Linked DNA regions of Saccharomyces cerevisiae S288C. The gene in region 4 interacts genetically with the main gene of each other region. Each region holds a gene or a part of one and is shown on either strand. Other genes may lie near its edges. The genes, in order: PRI2, SAP155, ABD1 and RRD1.

What was found.
Region 1: mutations in RRD1 (region 4) and PRI2 together harm fitness more than expected from each alone (negative genetic interaction), as found in Saccharomyces cerevisiae (2 studies listed by BioGRID).
Region 2: mutations in RRD1 (region 4) and SAP155 together harm fitness more than expected from each alone (negative genetic interaction), as found in Saccharomyces cerevisiae (2 studies listed by BioGRID).
Region 3: mutations in RRD1 (region 4) and ABD1 together harm fitness more than expected from each alone (negative genetic interaction), as found in Saccharomyces cerevisiae (2 studies listed by BioGRID).

What each region holds. Positions count from the first base shown.
Region 1 is NC_001143.9:351,489-356,108, forward strand, and holds PRI2 (DNA primase subunit PRI2), read left to right. Parts: upstream 1-2,004; coding exon 2,005-3,591; downstream 3,592-4,620. Other genes in the region: DCW1 (putative mannan endo-1,6-alpha-mannosidase), read right to left, coding at 1-1,136. UniProt on the Saccharomyces cerevisiae protein: DNA primase is the polymerase that synthesizes small RNA primers for the Okazaki fragments made during discontinuous DNA replication. In a complex with DNA polymerase alpha (DNA polymerase alpha:primase) constitutes a replicative polymerase.
Region 2 is NC_001138.5:232,301-238,226, reverse strand, and holds SAP155 (Sap155p), read right to left. Parts: upstream 3,986-5,926; coding exon 977-3,985; downstream 1-976. Other genes in the region: ERJ5 (Erj5p), read left to right, coding at 1-859; OSW7 (Osw7p), read left to right, coding at 4,683-5,926. UniProt on the Saccharomyces cerevisiae protein: Positive regulator of protein phosphatase SIT4. Involved in directing expression of TOR-repressed genes and in dephosphorylation of NPR1 in response to nutrient starvation. Negatively modulates K(+) efflux of the cell by the Na(+)-K(+)/H(+) antiporter NHA1.
Region 3 is NC_001134.8:689,536-693,836, forward strand, and holds ABD1 (mRNA (guanine-N7)-methyltransferase), read right to left. Parts: upstream 2,159-4,301; coding exon 848-2,158; downstream 1-847. Other genes in the region: VHC1 (Vhc1p), read left to right, coding at 1-728; DEAD-box RNA helicase PRP5, read left to right, coding at 2,434-4,301. UniProt on the Saccharomyces cerevisiae protein: Responsible for methylating the 5'-cap structure of mRNAs.
Region 4 is NC_001141.2:53,404-57,465, forward strand, and holds RRD1 (peptidylprolyl isomerase RRD1), read left to right. Parts: upstream 1-1,794; coding exon 1,795-2,976; downstream 2,977-4,062. Other genes in the region: GUT2 (glycerol-3-phosphate dehydrogenase), read right to left, coding at 1-305; IMP21 (Imp21p), read right to left, coding at 578-1,618; VPR1 (Vpr1p), read left to right, coding at 3,142-3,849; ESL1 (Esl1p), read right to left, coding at 3,935-4,062. UniProt on the Saccharomyces cerevisiae protein: PPIases accelerate the folding of proteins. It catalyzes the cis-trans isomerization of proline imidic peptide bonds in oligopeptides.

The DNA.
Region 1 (4,620 bases), on a different chromosome or scaffold from region 4:
TCTAAGGCGGACATTTGTTCACCTAGACCATACATACCATCCCAAGTCCCATTGAACCAATTCAATCCACAGGTATGACCATCAGTACCTCCAGAACATGATTTCGCGGCCGCAATGGCAGATGTATTCAACCAAGACATAATTTGGTTCCTAGTTTCTGGCACTAGTTGTGCAGTGACACCTAAGAAACGGGCAAAATAGGCTTTGAAGGAACGTTGATCTGTATTACAAGAATTTGGACCTTGACAAGCAGCTTCATACACAATACCATCATGGAAAAACACTTGGGAAGCGTTCAAAAACTCTTTGGTTCTTGTGTGCCAGAGGTCTGATCCCGTAAAGTTGTAAAGGTAGGCAGAGCCAGCCAACAGCAAACCTTGATTATATGTCCATTGATATGAGGTCACTTTGGTGCAATTATCATCAATGCTGACACCATCGTAAACATACTTATAGGTACCATTAGAAATTAAGTTCACACCGACCATCCACTCGTAAACTTTTTCGGCCCAGTCAACATATGTTTGATTACCTGTATATCTTGCTAATCTTGCAGCTATGTGAAACAAGGCACCGTTAGAAACGGTGTTCTTGTAATCGTAACCAGAGTTCCAAACGAAAATTTGCCACCTCAAACCACCACCACAGGAATCGGCATCCCAACGCAAAGCCATGGTATTGAAAACAGCCTGTGCTAAATATAGCCATTGAGGCTCATTCTCGGGAGGATTAGTAAAGTTTCTCTCCGCGGCAGTCATAGCAGCAATACCCCAAAAGGCTTGGTCATCATTACCTTCAGTGGTAGATTGATTTAGCGGAATATAGTCATTATCATCACCAGCTTGATGTATCATTGCTGCTATAATTTCATCATTATAGGTGTCGTTATCCATGAAAAACCAGTAATCTAGCATACAGCCCCAGGCACCACCGGCTTCCCACCAATAGTACGGATCTGAAAACATACCGACCGTCTTACCATACTGATTACCAGTGTAATAATCCATTAAACCGTAGGCAATTAGTGAAGTAGCATTTTGCAAAGATTCGTAGTTGTCTAGATCCAATTCGACGGCATTTGTAAATCTTGTTGCGAAGAGTACACCCAGTAACCCTATCACTTTATTTACTAGCATTTTTATGTGTTCGTTTTTAAAACAGACTGAAAAGAAAGAAAGCTCAGAAAAAAAGTGGTGTGTATTTTGTTGTATCCACTATTATATGTCCTGGAAAGGTTTCCCTAGCGTTTTGACCCTTTCGTATCTTGTAATTTAAGCCTCTTTTTACCAAAAATCCTCCCGTTCGCACACCTATTAAGCTGCTTATAAAATATGAGTATCAACACAGTAACAGTGAATATATAATAGATGAGCCCATTATACAAAGAGTACCTATGATCATCATGAAATCCGAGCTTTATTTCCATCTGCCAGTTTTCTTTCTGGATGTACGAAATTAAATCGCGCCTCGAACGGGTGCAAAACCGGGTGACGGGACACCGCTACGAATATAGTACGATACACTTATACATATATGGAAGCATTTATAGCGTATATTCATCGTACGGTACATTCTTTAAATAAATGATTGAATTTTTCTGAACCAACAGTTATAAGCTGAGATCCAGTGCGTTCATGAAACGGAACATCTTACATCATCAAGAGCCCAGAAGCACGGCGTAGGATTGTTTCCGCTGCTACAGACAGACATGGAAACACTGTTTTTATCAGGCCAAAGGTGATACGACAGGTCTCTTCTTGTTTCAATATTGCCTTACATATCTGCTGCTCACTCTATTTGCTTTTTCCTGCTCATTTATAGTTAACTTGATTTGAAATTACGCGTCGCGGGGAATCGCGTAAAACTCGATATTAAATCCTGTGATTTTGCAAAAGTAAATTTTTTACTATCTACATCTCTCCAATTTGCACAACTTTGACAGGACTGATAACTACCCAGGTGGAGCAACCAGTGACAGCAGGTAAAGCACAATAAGGAGAAGAAATGTTCAGGCAGTCAAAAAGAAGAATTGCCTCAAGGAAGAATTTTAGTTCATACGATGATATTGTCAAAAGCGAATTGGACGTAGGCAACACAAATGCAGCTAACCAGATCATCTTAAGTTCAAGTTCATCTGAAGAAGAGAAAAAACTTTACGCTAGGCTGTATGAGTCTAAATTATCATTTTACGATTTACCACCACAGGGAGAAATAACGTTGGAACAATTTGAGATCTGGGCAATCGATCGTCTCAAAATTCTGTTAGAGATCGAATCTTGCCTTTCAAGAAACAAATCGATCAAAGAAATTGAAACCATTATCAAGCCGCAGTTCCAAAAACTACTGCCTTTCAACACAGAGAGTTTAGAAGACAGAAAAAAGGATTACTACTCTCATTTCATTTTAAGATTGTGCTTTTGTCGTTCAAAAGAACTGCGGGAAAAATTCGTCAGGGCTGAAACGTTTTTGTTCAAAATTAGATTTAACATGCTAACCTCCACCGATCAAACAAAATTTGTTCAATCATTGGACTTACCCTTACTACAGTTTATCTCAAATGAAGAAAAGGCCGAATTATCTCATCAGTTGTATCAAACAGTTTCTGCGTCTCTACAGTTCCAATTGAATTTAAACGAGGAACATCAAAGAAAACAGTATTTCCAACAGGAAAAATTCATAAAATTACCTTTCGAAAATGTGATAGAACTGGTAGGAAACCGTTTAGTGTTTTTGAAGGACGGGTACGCATATTTACCACAATTCCAGCAATTGAATTTACTTTCTAATGAGTTTGCTAGCAAATTGAACCAGGAGTTAATAAAAACGTACCAGTACTTACCAAGACTGAATGAGGATGACCGGTTGTTACCAATTCTAAATCATCTTTCGTCGGGGTACACTATCGCGGATTTCAACCAGCAAAAGGCAAACCAATTCAGTGAGAACGTAGATGATGAGATTAATGCGCAAAGTGTCTGGTCTGAAGAGATTAGCTCAAACTATCCGCTATGTATCAAAAACCTGATGGAGGGTCTTAAAAAGAACCATCATTTGAGGTATTATGGGAGACAACAACTGAGTCTGTTTTTGAAAGGTATCGGCCTGAGCGCTGATGAAGCGTTAAAATTTTGGTCTGAGGCATTTACAAGAAATGGGAACATGACAATGGAGAAGTTCAATAAAGAATACCGTTACAGCTTCAGGCATAATTACGGTCTTGAAGGTAACAGAATCAACTACAAACCATGGGACTGTCACACTATCCTTTCCAAGCCCAGACCTGGGCGCGGAGATTATCATGGATGCCCTTTCCGTGATTGGAGTCACGAGAGACTATCTGCAGAATTGCGCTCTATGAAGTTGACCCAAGCGCAGATCATCAGTGTTCTGGATTCCTGCCAGAAAGGTGAATACACAATTGCTTGCACTAAAGTGTTTGAAATGACACACAACTCTGCATCAGCGGATTTGGAAATTGGCGAGCAAACGCATATCGCGCATCCTAACCTATACTTCGAAAGATCAAGGCAACTGCAAAAGAAACAGCAGAAGCTGGAAAAGGAAAAACTATTCAATAATGGTAATCATTAGTGCAGAAAGGGAAAAGGAAAAAAGCGAAGAGATAACTAAAAAGGATTAATAGTATACGTAATTTAGTCTACTGTAAGTATGGTCAAAAATTTTCTTTAGTGAGAAAAAAAAAAAAAAAGAGAAACGATAAACGCTGTACAATACCAGTGACTGCACTGCTCCGAAAACGTCCGAGATATGTATATTGTCCGAATTTTTTCATACTTTAATAGCTGGCCAGAGAAACCTTATAATTTTGTGGCTGCAAGCTATCGCGCTGTTCCTCTGTGACAGGCAACACAGAACAACTAACCGCCTGTCTTTTATGCCTGTACACTTCATTAAAATTTACCGTTTTCTTCCATTACAAGCGGGGACACTTTCCGTTTAAACCTGCAATATGTTGCAGGGCCTATCCACGCCAATTTACTGTGGCAGAAGTTACTGCAGTGGAAGAACTACCTTTTCCAGCATAGCCTCCGCCACCAAAAAATGCAGGTGCTGCGTTTTCTGGATACGTGGCTGGCCTTTAAAACGCATGGGAGGGACAGTATCTCACCGATTTGGTAATGCCGTGATGCAACCTCGAGGATCCGGTTTTCAAGAGCGGAAGTAAAAAACCGGGAAGATCTAATATTTCCTTATGCAGGTATTCTGTGACTAAAAAGTATAGAAGACTATTTTGCACCGCTCCCTGATTAGACTTCGTGCGATATTATTGATGGATATCGTCTTTATCTTTCCGTGGACCTAAAACGGCACCCCTTCGTCTAGGATAAACGCGGTCGGCTCTTTCGAAGACTAAAAAAGCAGCCACAATAACGTTACATGCAAAATCAGCCCACTCGAAGTTAGATACTGCGTAGACGGATTTGCACGATGCGATGATAAATATTAGGGACAGTGCGTGCCCACCCATAAGTTGCTGTAGAGCTTACAAATTGTAAAGACTAATTCCAATCGCACGCCCACCCCTCACGGGAATAAGTTAGAATGTTGCGGAATGAACGATAACTTCATATTAGGTAAAAGGGAAGAATGCAACGCTGC
Region 2 (5,926 bases), on a different chromosome or scaffold from region 4:
TGTCCTGGGATTGGTATCTCTATCATATGCTTTTACCACCATTGAAACAGAAATTTTCCAATTACAAAATGAAATAAGTACGAAATATGGCCCAGATATGAACTTCTACAAGTTCTTGAAGTTACCTAAACTGCAGAATTCTAGTACAAAGGAGATTACAAAAAACTTAAGAAAGCTATCCAAGAAGTACCATCCGGATAAGAACCCTAAATACCGTAAATTGTATGAAAGGTTAAACCTCGCTACTCAAATTCTTTCAAACAGCTCTAATCGTAAGATTTATGATTATTATCTACAGAATGGCTTTCCAAACTATGATTTCCATAAGGGTGGTTTTTATTTTTCCAGAATGAAGCCTAAGACTTGGTTCCTGCTGGCCTTTATTTGGATAGTCGTTAATATTGGGCAGTATATCATTTCTATTATTCAATATCGTTCTCAAAGATCAAGAATTGAAAACTTCATCAGTCAGTGTAAACAACAGGATGATACCAATGGACTAGGCGTAAAACAACTAACGTTTAAACAACATGAAAAGGATGAGGGTAAAAGTTTGGTTGTAAGGTTTAGCGATGTCTATGTTGTAGAGCCTGATGGAAGTGAAACACTAATTTCGCCAGATACCTTGGATAAACCTTCAGTAAAGAACTGTTTGTTTTGGAGAATACCTGCTTCGGTTTGGAACATGACGTTTGGCAAATCTGTTGGTAGCGCAGGAAAAGAAGAAATAATAACGGATAGTAAAAAGTATGATGGTAACCAAACAAAAAAGGGGAACAAAGTAAAAAAGGGTTCTGCAAAGAAAGGCCAAAAGAAAATGGAATTGCCTAACGGTAAAGTGATCTATTCACGTAAATGATACGTAAGAAGTAATATTATCATGATGAATGAATGAATGAATAGAAAACTACATGGTACTTATACATATAAATTAATATATATATATACAAATTAAAGAAAAGTACAAAACAATGTATCATTCATGATCATAATCATTATCATTATCAGCATCTTCATTATAATTACGAGTATTATCATTGTCATTATCATTATTATCGTTATTATCGTTGTTATTACTATTATTACTATTATGGTTGGTATTGTTAATGTTACTATTACTGTTCTTGTCCTCCGGCGGCCCCAGTATGAAAACCCCATTTTCCGTGTTCTTATTATCAACGTCTTCTTGAGCCCTATTGATTAACATTTCCCTTAACTTGTTGTGTAAATCAGATTCTGTAGATAAGGACAACTGTTCTTCTAGAGACTCAACATTGATTAATTGGCCGCCACCACTTGTTCCATTACTACTCCCGGTATCTGAATCAAGGATTTCATTATTATTACTTGCATCACCATTTGGAGTTAATACAGTAGTATTGTCAGGCAGCTGCGGAATGATGTTACCATTTCCATCATCAATATAACTTCCACCGCCAAGAATTTTAGAGTACATCATTCTTGTTTCGTTTAAGACTTCTTCGGAGTAGTATTGCCATTCTTCGGTTTGTAAAATTACTTGAATATCGGGAGATATTAGTTCCACTTTGTACAATTTAGAAAATTTGACCACTTCTTCGGCAATCAAGACAATATGGCCCATATATCCCAAATTCATTTTCCTTAGCTCATAAAATTTATATGAATCCTGGTAGCCCCTTAATATGAAGTCTGTAGTTATTTTGAAATCAAAATTTGGGTCTCTAATAACGGGAGAAAATCGGGAAACATCCGTTCCTTTTTCATCTGATATGACGATATCAGTCATAAATTGATAGGAGCTCTTTAAGTTAAACAGAGACAAAACAAGGAAGGAATTATAGGAAAAATCCATTCTTCCATTGAAGATTTGCTGAATTATGTCGAATATAACATTATGCCAAAAATTGTTCCAAGGATGTGTTAAGAATAGTTCCATTATTTTGGAAACAATTCGCGTATCATATAGTTTGATTTTGAATAGGTCCCCGACCGTGGGGTCGGTCCTAAGTTTTATGTTTTGCTTCATATTGATGTATGGAATTTCGAAGCTCTCGTCTATTTCGTCGCCATAGTCACTTTCATCATCATTATCATTATTGTCGTTATCTATTTTACCGTTGTTATTTTTTAGGTCGTGATCAGTGTCACGTGTTGGAGAGTGCTTCGTTTTAAGTTGCTCCTTTTCTTCGATACTCAGATCGTTTAATGCATCTTGTAAATGATGGGATAACTGGCTCCTTACTTTATCTCTTCTTCTGGCTATTCTTTCTGCCCTTTTGGAATTCATTAATCCCATATTAGAGCAATGCAGTAACTCGGCGATTAATTCCACCACTTTGAATCTTTCAAATCCTAAAGGTTTAAATTTTTCGTGCAACTGATTTTCATGTAATGGGATGTTGGCGTCATTTTCAATATCTAGAATGATTTGGAAAAAATCGGACAAATGGTTTGAAAATTTCCGAAGTAGATAGCCTAAATATATTGGATCTCTATTTGAAGGTGGATGAGTCTTTATAGTAGTGGTTAAAAGATTAACTTGATCGTAGTCTGAATTGTTTTTCCTTATCAGCTCAATGACAATCGAAACTGTGGTATTTAATGCGGCACCTCTTTGGTTGATCATGATATCGACTAGCTTTGCAATGGATTCGGGAGATGCTAGCTGTCTCGTCAAGGAGTTTGGACCAATGGAAATATCATCCAAGGGTGCATTAGCAGAAATGGCAATCAGAGCCTTTAAGAAATCACCCACGCATGCTTGGATGTCAGCTGGGGACTCTTTGTTATTTAGAAAGCTTAAGCATTTGCTGATCAAGTTTTGATCATATACTAATTCAATTATTCCCGTGGGTGATTCAATCTTATCTGTGGATATTATTTTCAAGAAAAAATCCATCAATAGGGAAATATCAACATGCTTTAACATATCATCAACAAAGCTTCTCTCCGTTCGAATAAAATTTAAATATTGATCCTGCCTGGTTAACAACAGATTTTGGTTAATCTTTAAGAATATGGGTACCAAGGGAGAGTTTTCAGAATTGAAATTTGGCTGGTTGATGATAGACCAAATCTTGTTTAAGTATGATTGGTTTTTAACTAATGACTCGCTAATCAACCATATGTCTAAGGAAAAGATTTCAGATATTATGGTGGCCTTTGTCAAATAAGCAGATTCATCGTCCTCATTCGCATCGTCGTCGTCGTCATTGTTGTTGATATCATCGTTACCAAACGAGGAGCTTCCGCGTTTTCGTCTCTTCTTGTTATTGCTGTTATTATCGTCCTCTTTCTCCTCTTCTTGCTCCGTATCAGATTCCACATAAACGTCCTCTTGTGAGCTATCATCAAGCTGTTGCTGTTCTTGATAATCTATCAGGTTATTCAAATCCACTGTGGTGGCGGTTTTAATCTTCGAGATACATTCCATCAGTTGGTCGACCAGATATTCCATATTATTCACTTTCTTATTAGTTTTCTTATCAAAGAAAAATCCAAAGCAAATGAAGTCAAGTAGCGTCTTGTTTTGTCTCGATAATTCGTTCAGTAGCTCTGTCTCTACAAGCATTCTTTCAATAAAAGAGTTATCCAAATTCTTTGTGGTGACCATCATGGGAGCAGTAGCATTGCTGATATCCTCCTCATCTAAATCAGTTTTAGAAGTTGACCCAGAAGAAAAAGATGTAGTGGAAGATTCGCTAGAGTTCATGCTCCGTTCCTCTTCCTCTTTCTCATACCGTTCTTGCTGATCATCCTTCTCAAATCGACTCTTCTGATCTCCACGTGCCGTTTTCACTTCATCACCATGACTATACTCCTCCGGAATAGAATCTAGGGAGTCACTTGTACCTCGTTCCTGAACGTTGTTGAAAATAGCGGGAATGGCTTTACCAACGCTTGGGTTAATCCTTTCCAGTTCGTGTAGCACATGAAAATATTCATCTAGGATCTTATTAATATTAGAGTGATTAAGATTCTGTCCAAATGGCCAAAACGACATCTTTACTCTGGCTTGTTGTTTTCGTCTTTTTTTTCTTTTCTTTTGTAAAAACTGCTGCTCCAAAAATCAATAGAATGGGAACGGCAGAGACTATAGTCTAGGGAAGTAACGCTTGTGTCTTAATCGTGTTGAAATAAAATCAAAATGAAATAAAATCAAAATAATAAAAAAAGAGGAGGAAAAAAGGGGATAGTCACTCAAACCCACTATCTAGCTTTAGTCTCTCAGTCTTTTAACCGCTACTTGGAGAAAAAATACTGAATCCAATGGTCAAATAAGGCCTTTCTTCTAGTTGCTTTGGAGCGTATGATACCACGATACTGTTGGTTTTGGTTCTAATTGGCCACTTAAAATTATTTTTCTTTCTTTTTTTCTAGAGGAAGGGATAACCCTACTAAGACCTATTCTATAATTACCAGCCCTATAGTTGTCTTTCATTTTTTAGATAAATGCCCTCTTTAAAAATTAAATTAACCCTACTCATTTTGTTGTCATTTCGGCCCTTTTAAGCCACAATACAGGTATCATTTAACAGGAATTACATAATAGTACTTTAGAAGAGACTTGTATGGCATCGAGGCTTCCTTTTTGACTATTGGAAGATAGCATTTTTTTGGGTGTTGCTACTATCATATTTCTGTTACTGATTGACCTTTTCTTAACTAAGAAAAAGGTGGTTAGTTCTTTACTAAAAATCATGAAGGCCGTTTTCAAAGTAACGACTGCTTTGCTGGCTTGCGTGTTTATTGCAAGGTATCTGGTCTGTCAGCAAAATGGTCTGGGAAGCTTTGCCACAGATTTACAGCCCATTTGCCGGCATACTGAATTTTCAGTTGGCTCACTATTCGATTCTAAATTGGTTGAAGGTTCAGCGGTTTCTGACTATTTAGTTGGAAAGTACTCACAATCGATAAAACCACTGATTGAAAGATACCCCAACTCATCCTTGAAGAGAATTATGGGATATTTTTACCGCTTTTGGTACAATATTTTCTCTTTTCTAAGGCTAAATGAGCTCTGCTGTTCGCTACATTCCAAGTTGGGACCTTTATTAAATCATCTAAGGATTGCCTGGTACTATTTAAAGCCATATACAGACAATGTGAAGAATGTACTAGAGAATCCATTTAACTCCTCTACGGATTGGATGAAATACGGCTCCTTTAGCGCTGATGGCACGCTCACCAAACCCATTTTTGAGACAGACTCGGAAACAGAGGATTATGAGGATGATGAGAATGAAAATGAGGATGAGGATGAAGATGAGGATGAGGATGATGTCGGAATTGAGGATGAAAATAAAGAATACGAGTTCGATGGAGTACAGGATGGCCACGGGAACTCACAACTCGTCACTGCTGCTATTTTGCAGGATTTGTCAAAGATTATCATTGGTTCCAATAGCCATGCAGAATTGGAAACTTACGAGGCAGAATCATTAAAAATGGAATATGAAGCATGGATTAAGGCTATAGATTCGAAAATACACAGTGCGATGGCACTTTTGGATTCAGAGATACAGTCTGTGTTCGAGGCCGAGGTGCAAAATAAATCTATAGAAATCACTAGGAATCTTGATGACCTTAACACTACCGTTAATGAGCAATTAGTGTTTCTAGATTCAAAAATCAAAGATATTAATTGTACCTCTAAATTCGATCCTGTGCAAAATAAAATAAAGTATTTTGATGAATCGGGTCAAGTTGAACTGGAAGCTTACATTACCAAATCATCTATCACATCGATACTGAAGAATTATAAAATACATTTGTTAGACTTTGAAAAATCACTGTTTCATTCATTAGATTCTTTTCTTACCGAAATGGCTAAACTGGCAGAATCGATTCGTCTTGAAAACGTCGAAGTGTACGAAGAGTGGGGCGATGTAATGATAAGTCAATGGTCGCAAAGAATGGCATATATGGACGTCAGAGGTCTCCA
Region 3 (4,301 bases), on a different chromosome or scaffold from region 4:
AGCAATTTACACAATCAAGAAAATATACGTCTGGGGTTCAGAAATTGGGTGTCTCATTTACAATGAATACGAGAATGCCAACTAACCGCATTGATACCCCATGCGAGAGTGAGGACTCCGATTTGGATACAGATCTTACGTCAATTCGTGATGCCTTCTCGGCATCGACTAATATTTCAGTAGGTAAGGACTTAACGACCAAATCGAAGACCGGTTCCGACAGAACAAATTTACTCGTAAAGAATTTACAAAGCGATGTGTCAACACAGTCGTTAAGACCCGTTTTCTCGAGTAATACTTTGCCGAGGACGAGAGTCGTGGAAGATGGCACGGGTGAACAGCCGACACTGATCCCAATTGCCGAACCTGACCTTTCGAATGGGAACGGTACTGGGAGCGGTATTGGCAACGGCAACAAATTAAAGAAACCGGTTCTTCCCGAATTATCACCTTGTTGTTCAAAAGATAGTTTAGTCACAGCGATGCAAAATTTAGGTTTCAATGATCTTCCCAGCACTGCTCAACATTTGGTTCTGAATGATGTGATGACACAAATGTCAAAGAGTTCGGATTTAATTTTTTCAACCTTGCCAGTTCCAGCTCTTGGAACACATGAAGATCACGATGCAAGTTTACAATATGTCGAGGACTTGGATATTTGGTTGGAGGGCTTACCTCCATGCATGTTAATCAATTCGCAAACCATGACAGTAACTACTGCATTATAGAATAACACATATATCGTTATGCATTTCCCCAGAACTTATTTACTACATATAGAAGTCTTGTAATACGGCCGAAATACAGATGCTTTATAGTAGGGTTATTGTTTCTATTCATTTTTATTTCAGTTGGGCTTTACGCTTTCCGGTTCGATATACTGTTTTACCTTACGGAATGCAAACATGGTATAGAAATATGATGCCGCTTCCTTTTCATCCCCTTCAACACCATATCTACCATCAGATCTTTGTAAACCTTCCCTCATTTTAGGCGAAAACCTCTCAATCCATTTGGGAATTTCTTGGACAAAAAATTTATTAAAAGGCATTTGCGATACTAGTTCCAAACCGTATTCATCAGCCAAACTTCTTAAGGTTTCGAATGGCACAACATATTCAGGAACATTATCTATAGCATCTTCTAGCCAATAAGTATACATTTGACCATAAGGCGATGTGAACTCATAATCATTCTTTTGGTATGAATTATTCTCAAATGTCACTTTATAAATGGAGTTTCCCCAAGATGGCTTTTCCACTTCTTTGGGAAATTTATTCAGTTTATAACGAATGAATTCTGAATCTGGTATCGTGCCAAAAAAGTGACCACCAATTTTGAGTGATTTGGCGACATTCAGTAAAGCTCTCCTTGCTTTTTCTTCGGTCTCAAAAGCATAATGCAAGCAAAATTGCGTCGAAACGATATCACACGGAAATCTACAGTCTGGGAAGGGCTCTACTGCAACACCTAATGATTCGCCAAAGCAATCCCCAGTAATTAGCACAACTTGGTAGTCCAAATTTCTCATGGACCGGTATCTCTTATGAGCTTCTTGGATAGAGGCATTGGAAATGTCAATACCAATAAACTGTGAAATACCTGCAGCACCATATTTTCTTAAATCACCACCTTTGCCACATCCGAGTTCTAAAACGACATCTCCAGGTTTTGTATATTTGTCAATTAACATATACTTAATCGCATTGTTAAAATTACGAAGCTTAATAATAGGCGATAGATTCCTCTTAGCGCGATTGGCGATTATTGTACGTTCATTATAGTGCTCTCGGACAATCTGGTCAACATTTATGGATCTATTTGCAGTCATCTCTATTTCATGTCTCTTTAGTTGCTCTTCTCTCAATTTTTGAGCACGCTGTTTGCGTAATCTTTCCTCTTGATCATACCTTTCATGTCTTCTCTTTTGGATTTTAAACCCGGATTCTGCCTCAATGGGTAGATCAGACACCTTAGAAGTAAGGATAGAGCTGCTTTGCAAAACTGGTAATGATCCATTACCATCACCAGGCGCATTGGCAGTAACTTTGGAGTCTTTTTTTGAGACTGTGGACGATTCATCACCAGTAATTGAGCCGTACTGACGGTCATAGTCTTCTTGTGACATCCATATTGGCTTCTCTGGTTTGGTTGACATTCTACTTTTCTAAGACGGATAATGGACGACTCCACGTTGTAGTAGTTGTCACATTAATCGGAAAAGTGTCTCACATGTAAAGGATTAAAATAAGAAATCTTCTAATTTATGTTGAAATATCTTGATTTACCATTACCCGGATTAGATGAAACTAATTAAAGTCATTTAGAGCAATGGACCAAACTAAAGGTATTAGAGTTCTTTCTAATATAATACAGCGCCAAATAATTCGAGAAGGGAAATCATAACGCTGTTGCCTTGGGTTTATTTGAGGTATGGAAACTATTGATTCGAAGCAAAATATTAATAGGGAGTCTTTATTGGAGGAAAGGAGGAAAAAACTAGCAAAATGGAAACAAAAAAAAGCACAATTTGATGCTCAGAAAGAGCATCAAACTTCACGCAATGACATTGTTACTAACAGTTTAGAAGGTAAGCAGACTACTGAAAAGTTTACGGAAAGACAGGAACGTGTAAAAGAAGAGCTTCGGAAGAGAAAAAATGAATTTAGGAAATCTGACGAACCTGTATCGGTTAAGCCTTCGAAGAAAAAGTCGAAGAGAAGTAAGGTAAAGAAGAAAATATCCTTCGACTTCAGTGATGACGATGATTCTGAAATAGGAGTTTCTTTTAGATCGAAGGAGCACATTCAAAAAGCTCCAGAGCATGATAATGAAAAAGATCCACTGGATGAGTTTATGACGTCATTGAAGGAGGAGAAAATGAGTAATAGTAAAGGCATGTACGACAGAGGCGACATTCTTGATGTAGAGGATCAATTGTTTGAACTTGGAGGAACCGACGATGAGGATGTTGAAGATAATACGGATAATTCTAATATAGCGAAAATTGCTAAACTCAAAGCAAAAAAACGTGTAAAGCAAATTTATTACTCTCCAGAAGAGCTTGAGCCGTTCCAAAAAAATTTTTATATAGAATCTGAAACAGTTTCCTCGATGTCAGAGATGGAAGTTGAGGAGCTTAGACTTAGTCTGGATAATATCAAAATAAAGGGAACAGGTTGCCCCAAACCAGTCACAAAGTGGTCTCAACTGGGACTATCAACGGACACCATGGTTTTAATTACAGAAAAGTTGCACTTTGGCTCCTTAACGCCTATTCAATCCCAGGCTCTTCCCGCTATTATGTCAGGTCGTGATGTTATAGGAATATCAAAAACTGGCTCCGGCAAGACCATCTCCTATCTTTTACCATTGCTAAGACAAGTAAAAGCTCAACGGCCATTATCAAAACATGAAACAGGGCCCATGGGTTTAATTCTGGCTCCAACTAGAGAGCTAGCTTTACAAATACATGAAGAAGTTACTAAATTCACAGAAGCAGATACATCCATTAGATCAGTATGCTGTACAGGAGGTTCTGAAATGAAAAAGCAGATTACTGATCTTAAAAGAGGCACTGAGATTGTTGTTGCCACACCGGGACGATTTATTGATATATTAACACTAAATGATGGGAAATTACTTAGTACTAAAAGAATAACGTTCGTAGTAATGGATGAGGCAGACAGGCTGTTCGATTTAGGTTTTGAACCTCAAATAACGCAAATCATGAAAACTGTTCGACCGGATAAACAGTGTGTTCTATTTAGTGCAACTTTTCCGAACAAACTACGCAGTTTTGCCGTAAGAGTTTTGCATTCCCCAATATCTATTACGATTAATTCAAAGGGAATGGTTAATGAAAACGTAAAACAAAAGTTTAGAATATGCCATTCAGAAGATGAAAAATTTGACAATCTGGTGCAGCTTATCCATGAGCGCAGTGAATTTTTTGACGAGGTTCAAAGTGAAAATGACGGACAGTCAAGCGATGTTGAAGAAGTTGATGCTAAAGCCATTATATTTGTATCAAGTCAGAATATTTGCGACTTCATTTCAAAAAAGCTGTTAAATGCTGGAATTGTGACCTGTGCTATTCATGCAGGTAAGCCATATCAAGAAAGGCTTATGAACTTAGAAAAGTTCAAACGAGAAAAGAACAGTATTCTTCTCTGTACAGAGGTTCTCTCAAGAGGTTTAAATGTTCCCGAAGTGTCGTTGGTTATTATCTATAACGCCGTCAAAACTTTCGCGCAATATGTTCATACTACTGGAAGAACTGCCAGAGGTAGTCGCTCCGG
Region 4 (4,062 bases):
GCAAAATCCCCCTTTTCAACAAGGGCCACATTGAGTCCCCTGGTCGCAGCATCTAGGGCACATCCTGTCCCCGTGGCCCCGCCACCGATGATCAACACGTCGAATTGATGCGTCTTGGCCAGACGGTCCAGCAGGTCTCGTCTAGAGACCTGCGGTGGAGCGGCGGTGGGGAATTGCACCATGTAGCTCGGGTCATTGTGCACTAACGGCCTATCACCTTGGCTAGTCATCCAGTACAGCGTCCCCGTGGCTGTGGCCATGGCAGCAGCTGCACCGGCAGCTCTTCTTCTCGTTACCGAAAACATATATTAGTACGTATTTAGTCTTGTAGCAGTGATGGCAATAGCACGGTCAAGATAAGGGAGGGAGAGTCCTTGCTTTAGACCAAAGTTCCCTATTTGTGGCTGTTCTCTTTTAAGTTTAAATACGATTTTTAGCGTGCGGGGTTGTGAAATTTCCCCTGCCAAAACTGAAATAAAGTTGGGTGGATAACGTATCGGAGCAGAGAAAAGACATAAGGTCTGTTGCTGTATATAAGTATGTGTTGCTAAAAAGGAATTAGTGCAGTGATTATTGGTCACTCGCTGATGCCCTTGCGCTTGGCACGTTTCAGCTTCTTTCTAACCGCGAGGATGGGCACAGAGCAGACGAAGTTCTGCAGAGTGGACAGGATGACCGAGAGGGAGCAGCACAGGGCGACTGGCTTGAGGCCGTGGATCATCTCGTTGAGGAGGTGTTTTGGGTACGGATGGGTCAAGGAGAGGACGACGACGTCGAGGTCGTCGAGCACGCCCGCGACGCAGTCAAACAGGTGCATGACGTGCTTTCTGATTCTGGCAACGTTGGCGAACATCTGGGAGTCGTCCGTGGGCTTCGAGGGCTCCCAGTGGACAATGTAGACGGTGTCTCCCTGGTTGACAGCTGCGCCCATGAGATAGGTCAGGGCGTAGGTGGACTCGCTGCTCAGGTCCGTGTAGAGGATGAAGGACCTTTGGTTCCCGGCCTCTGCGCCGGCACCCTTGGTGAGTAGTTGCATGGCTCTGACGTAGCCTCCGTCGAGTTGCTCCAGAGACACGTCTTCGTTTTCGTGGCCACGGATGCTGATCTCGTACTTGGCTATCCAGGGCTTGCTGGAGTCTAGCACTTCGTTTATGCTGGTACAAAAGTTGGGTAACACTTTCATGCCCAGATCGTAGTGGAACTCCTCGTCAATCTCTAAATCGTTCTCTATATCGCTCACTTGCTCTTCATCGGACTCTTCCTCGTCCATATCGTCGCCGTCGCCGTCGTCGTCATCTTCGTCGTTGCCCTCACCTTCCTCTTCAGAATCCACATCCACGACCCTCAACCGCATCGAGGGGTCCTGCCTCAACACGGTCCACTTGAGGAACTCTTCCTCCCTTACTCTGCTGCGGCTACTGGCCCTGCTTCTCGACCGCGACAGACTGCTCACGTTTGAGTCTCGTTCGCCTCTTTTCTTCTTGCTACGACCTCTTTCCCTGTGGCCCCTTTCCATCTGCTCCGAGTCGAACTCCACCGTGGTGGGCGTTTCCGTTTTGATGCTGTGTAGATTCGATTGTGTTCCGTCAGGTTTAGTCAGCAATATGCTCTTCTGCATTGCGTACTTGGTTGTTTCTCTTGTTGGTTCTTTTGGTACTCACCCTTTCCATAGTCTCTTGTGTTTGATCAAGCCTTTTTTCCGGACCTTTAAAGCTTTCTTAAAAAGATAAAATAGGAAGAAAGTGCAAAGTGCAAAAGAACGCACATATGAACAAGCATTAAACGAGCAAAGAAATGTCTCTGGATCGTGTAGATTGGCCGCACGCCACCTTCTCTACGCCGGTGAAGCGTATCTTCGATACGCAGACAACGCTGGACTTCCAATCGTCACTAGCCATTCACAGAATCAAGTATCATCTTCACAAGTACACTACGTTGATATCGCACTGTTCTGACCCCGACCCGCACGCTACTGCGTCGTCGATCGCCATGGTTAACGGGCTGATGGGAGTGTTGGACAAGCTGGCACACCTGATCGACGAGACACCGCCTCTTCCAGGTCCTAGAAGGTATGGTAACCTAGCATGCCGCGAGTGGCATCACAAGCTGGATGAACGTTTGCCTCAGTGGCTGCAGGAAATGCTTCCCTCGGAATACCATGAGGTGGTGCCTGAATTGCAGTATTACCTGGGCAACAGCTTTGGTTCGTCGACAAGATTGGACTACGGCACGGGCCACGAACTTTCGTTCATGGCCACGGTCGCAGCACTGGACATGCTGGGGATGTTTCCGCACATGAGGGGGGCAGACGTTTTTCTGCTGTTCAACAAGTACTACACGATCATGAGGAGGCTGATCCTGACGTATACGCTGGAGCCCGCTGGGTCACATGGCGTGTGGGGGCTTGATGACCATTTCCACTTGGTGTACATCTTGGGCTCGTCTCAATGGCAGCTGCTTGATGCGCAAGCACCCTTGCAACCAAGAGAAATACTGGATAAGTCTCTGGTGCGCGAGTATAAGGACACCAACTTCTACTGCCAAGGCATAAACTTTATTAATGAGGTGAAAATGGGGCCCTTTGAAGAGCATTCCCCCATCCTATACGATATTGCCGTCACCGTTCCACGCTGGTCCAAAGTGTGTAAGGGGCTTCTAAAAATGTATTCTGTAGAGGTTCTGAAGAAGTTCCCCGTGGTGCAACATTTCTGGTTCGGCACAGGCTTCTTTCCCTGGGTCAACATTCAAAACGGCACTGATCTTCCAGTCTTTGAAGAAAAGGAGGAAGAGAGTATAGAACAGGCTAACGCAGGATCGCCCGGTCGAGAACAGACTTCAACACGATTCCCAACGTCCACGTCAATGCCTCCCCCAGGCGTTCCGCCGTCAGGTAACAATATCAACTATTTACTAAGCCATCAAAACCAGTCGCACCGGAACCAGACTTCTTTTTCAAGAGATAGACTACGTAGATAATATTAATTAAACATATAAATGTGTATGACAAGCATTATGACTTCTATTTTCGTTCTTTTTTACTTGCGTCTACAATATATAAGCATATAATCAGATGAAAAAAGGAAAAGGAAGCGGTAATACAAATAAACAAAGAAGTGGAAAAAGTCGCCACAGTGTAAGCAAATGAGTCACAAGAGAAGGGGCCTGGTAATATATCAGGATCAGAAGCAGCAACAACAACACCCCCCGGGGCAGTCCCTAAGCTCTATATCCTGGTCTCCAACCAGGCGACCTCATCACCCTTTAAAACAACAAAGCACCAACAGTTTCTCAGAAATACTATCGAAATCAAGTGTGCAACCGAACGTGCAACATGACGGTAATCATATGCCCATTTCATTGCTAGTTCTGAAACAAGAACATCATAAGCAGCAGCAGCAGCAGCAGCAGCGCCAGAATATCCGATCACAAAACTCTACGCCTCCCCTGCGACAGTTGGTTCAGGAGTCGCAGTGGACGAGCTCCGCAAGTAATAGTTCTCTAAAGAAACAGGAAAAGCAGCCGCAAACATTCTACAACACTGACTCTAAACTTGTTTCTCAACTGCATAGCTCCGTGAAGGACCTGGATGCCATAATCCAGACGCATAAACCAAAGTTTGACACAATTATTCGCGATTTCTCTCAAGCAACCATACTGTCCTCAAACGAGTTACTCATCAAACTTCCGAAGGACCAAACAATAATATTGCATAGCAGAGCGCCAAAAATTAACGCAGAATGGCTACAGAACAAGGTTAATGACCCTAGTGCCTCGTTAGTGATCGATTCAAGATCTTTTCTAACCTTGTGTAACAATATAAAATGGTACCTGCATTGGAAATTTATATGAAAAGTAATTGTAGAATGGAGTGTTCAAAAAAAAAAAAAAAATGCACAGAAATATATATGTGATCATATATATGTATATATACATATTAGTTGGTACATAATCCACTATTAATACCAAGCTTGCTACCTAACGAAAATAAATACTTTGTATTGCACGTTTTTATCATTCTGTCCTTCGCTTTTTGGTTCATATTATCATCATCCGTTACCAGCA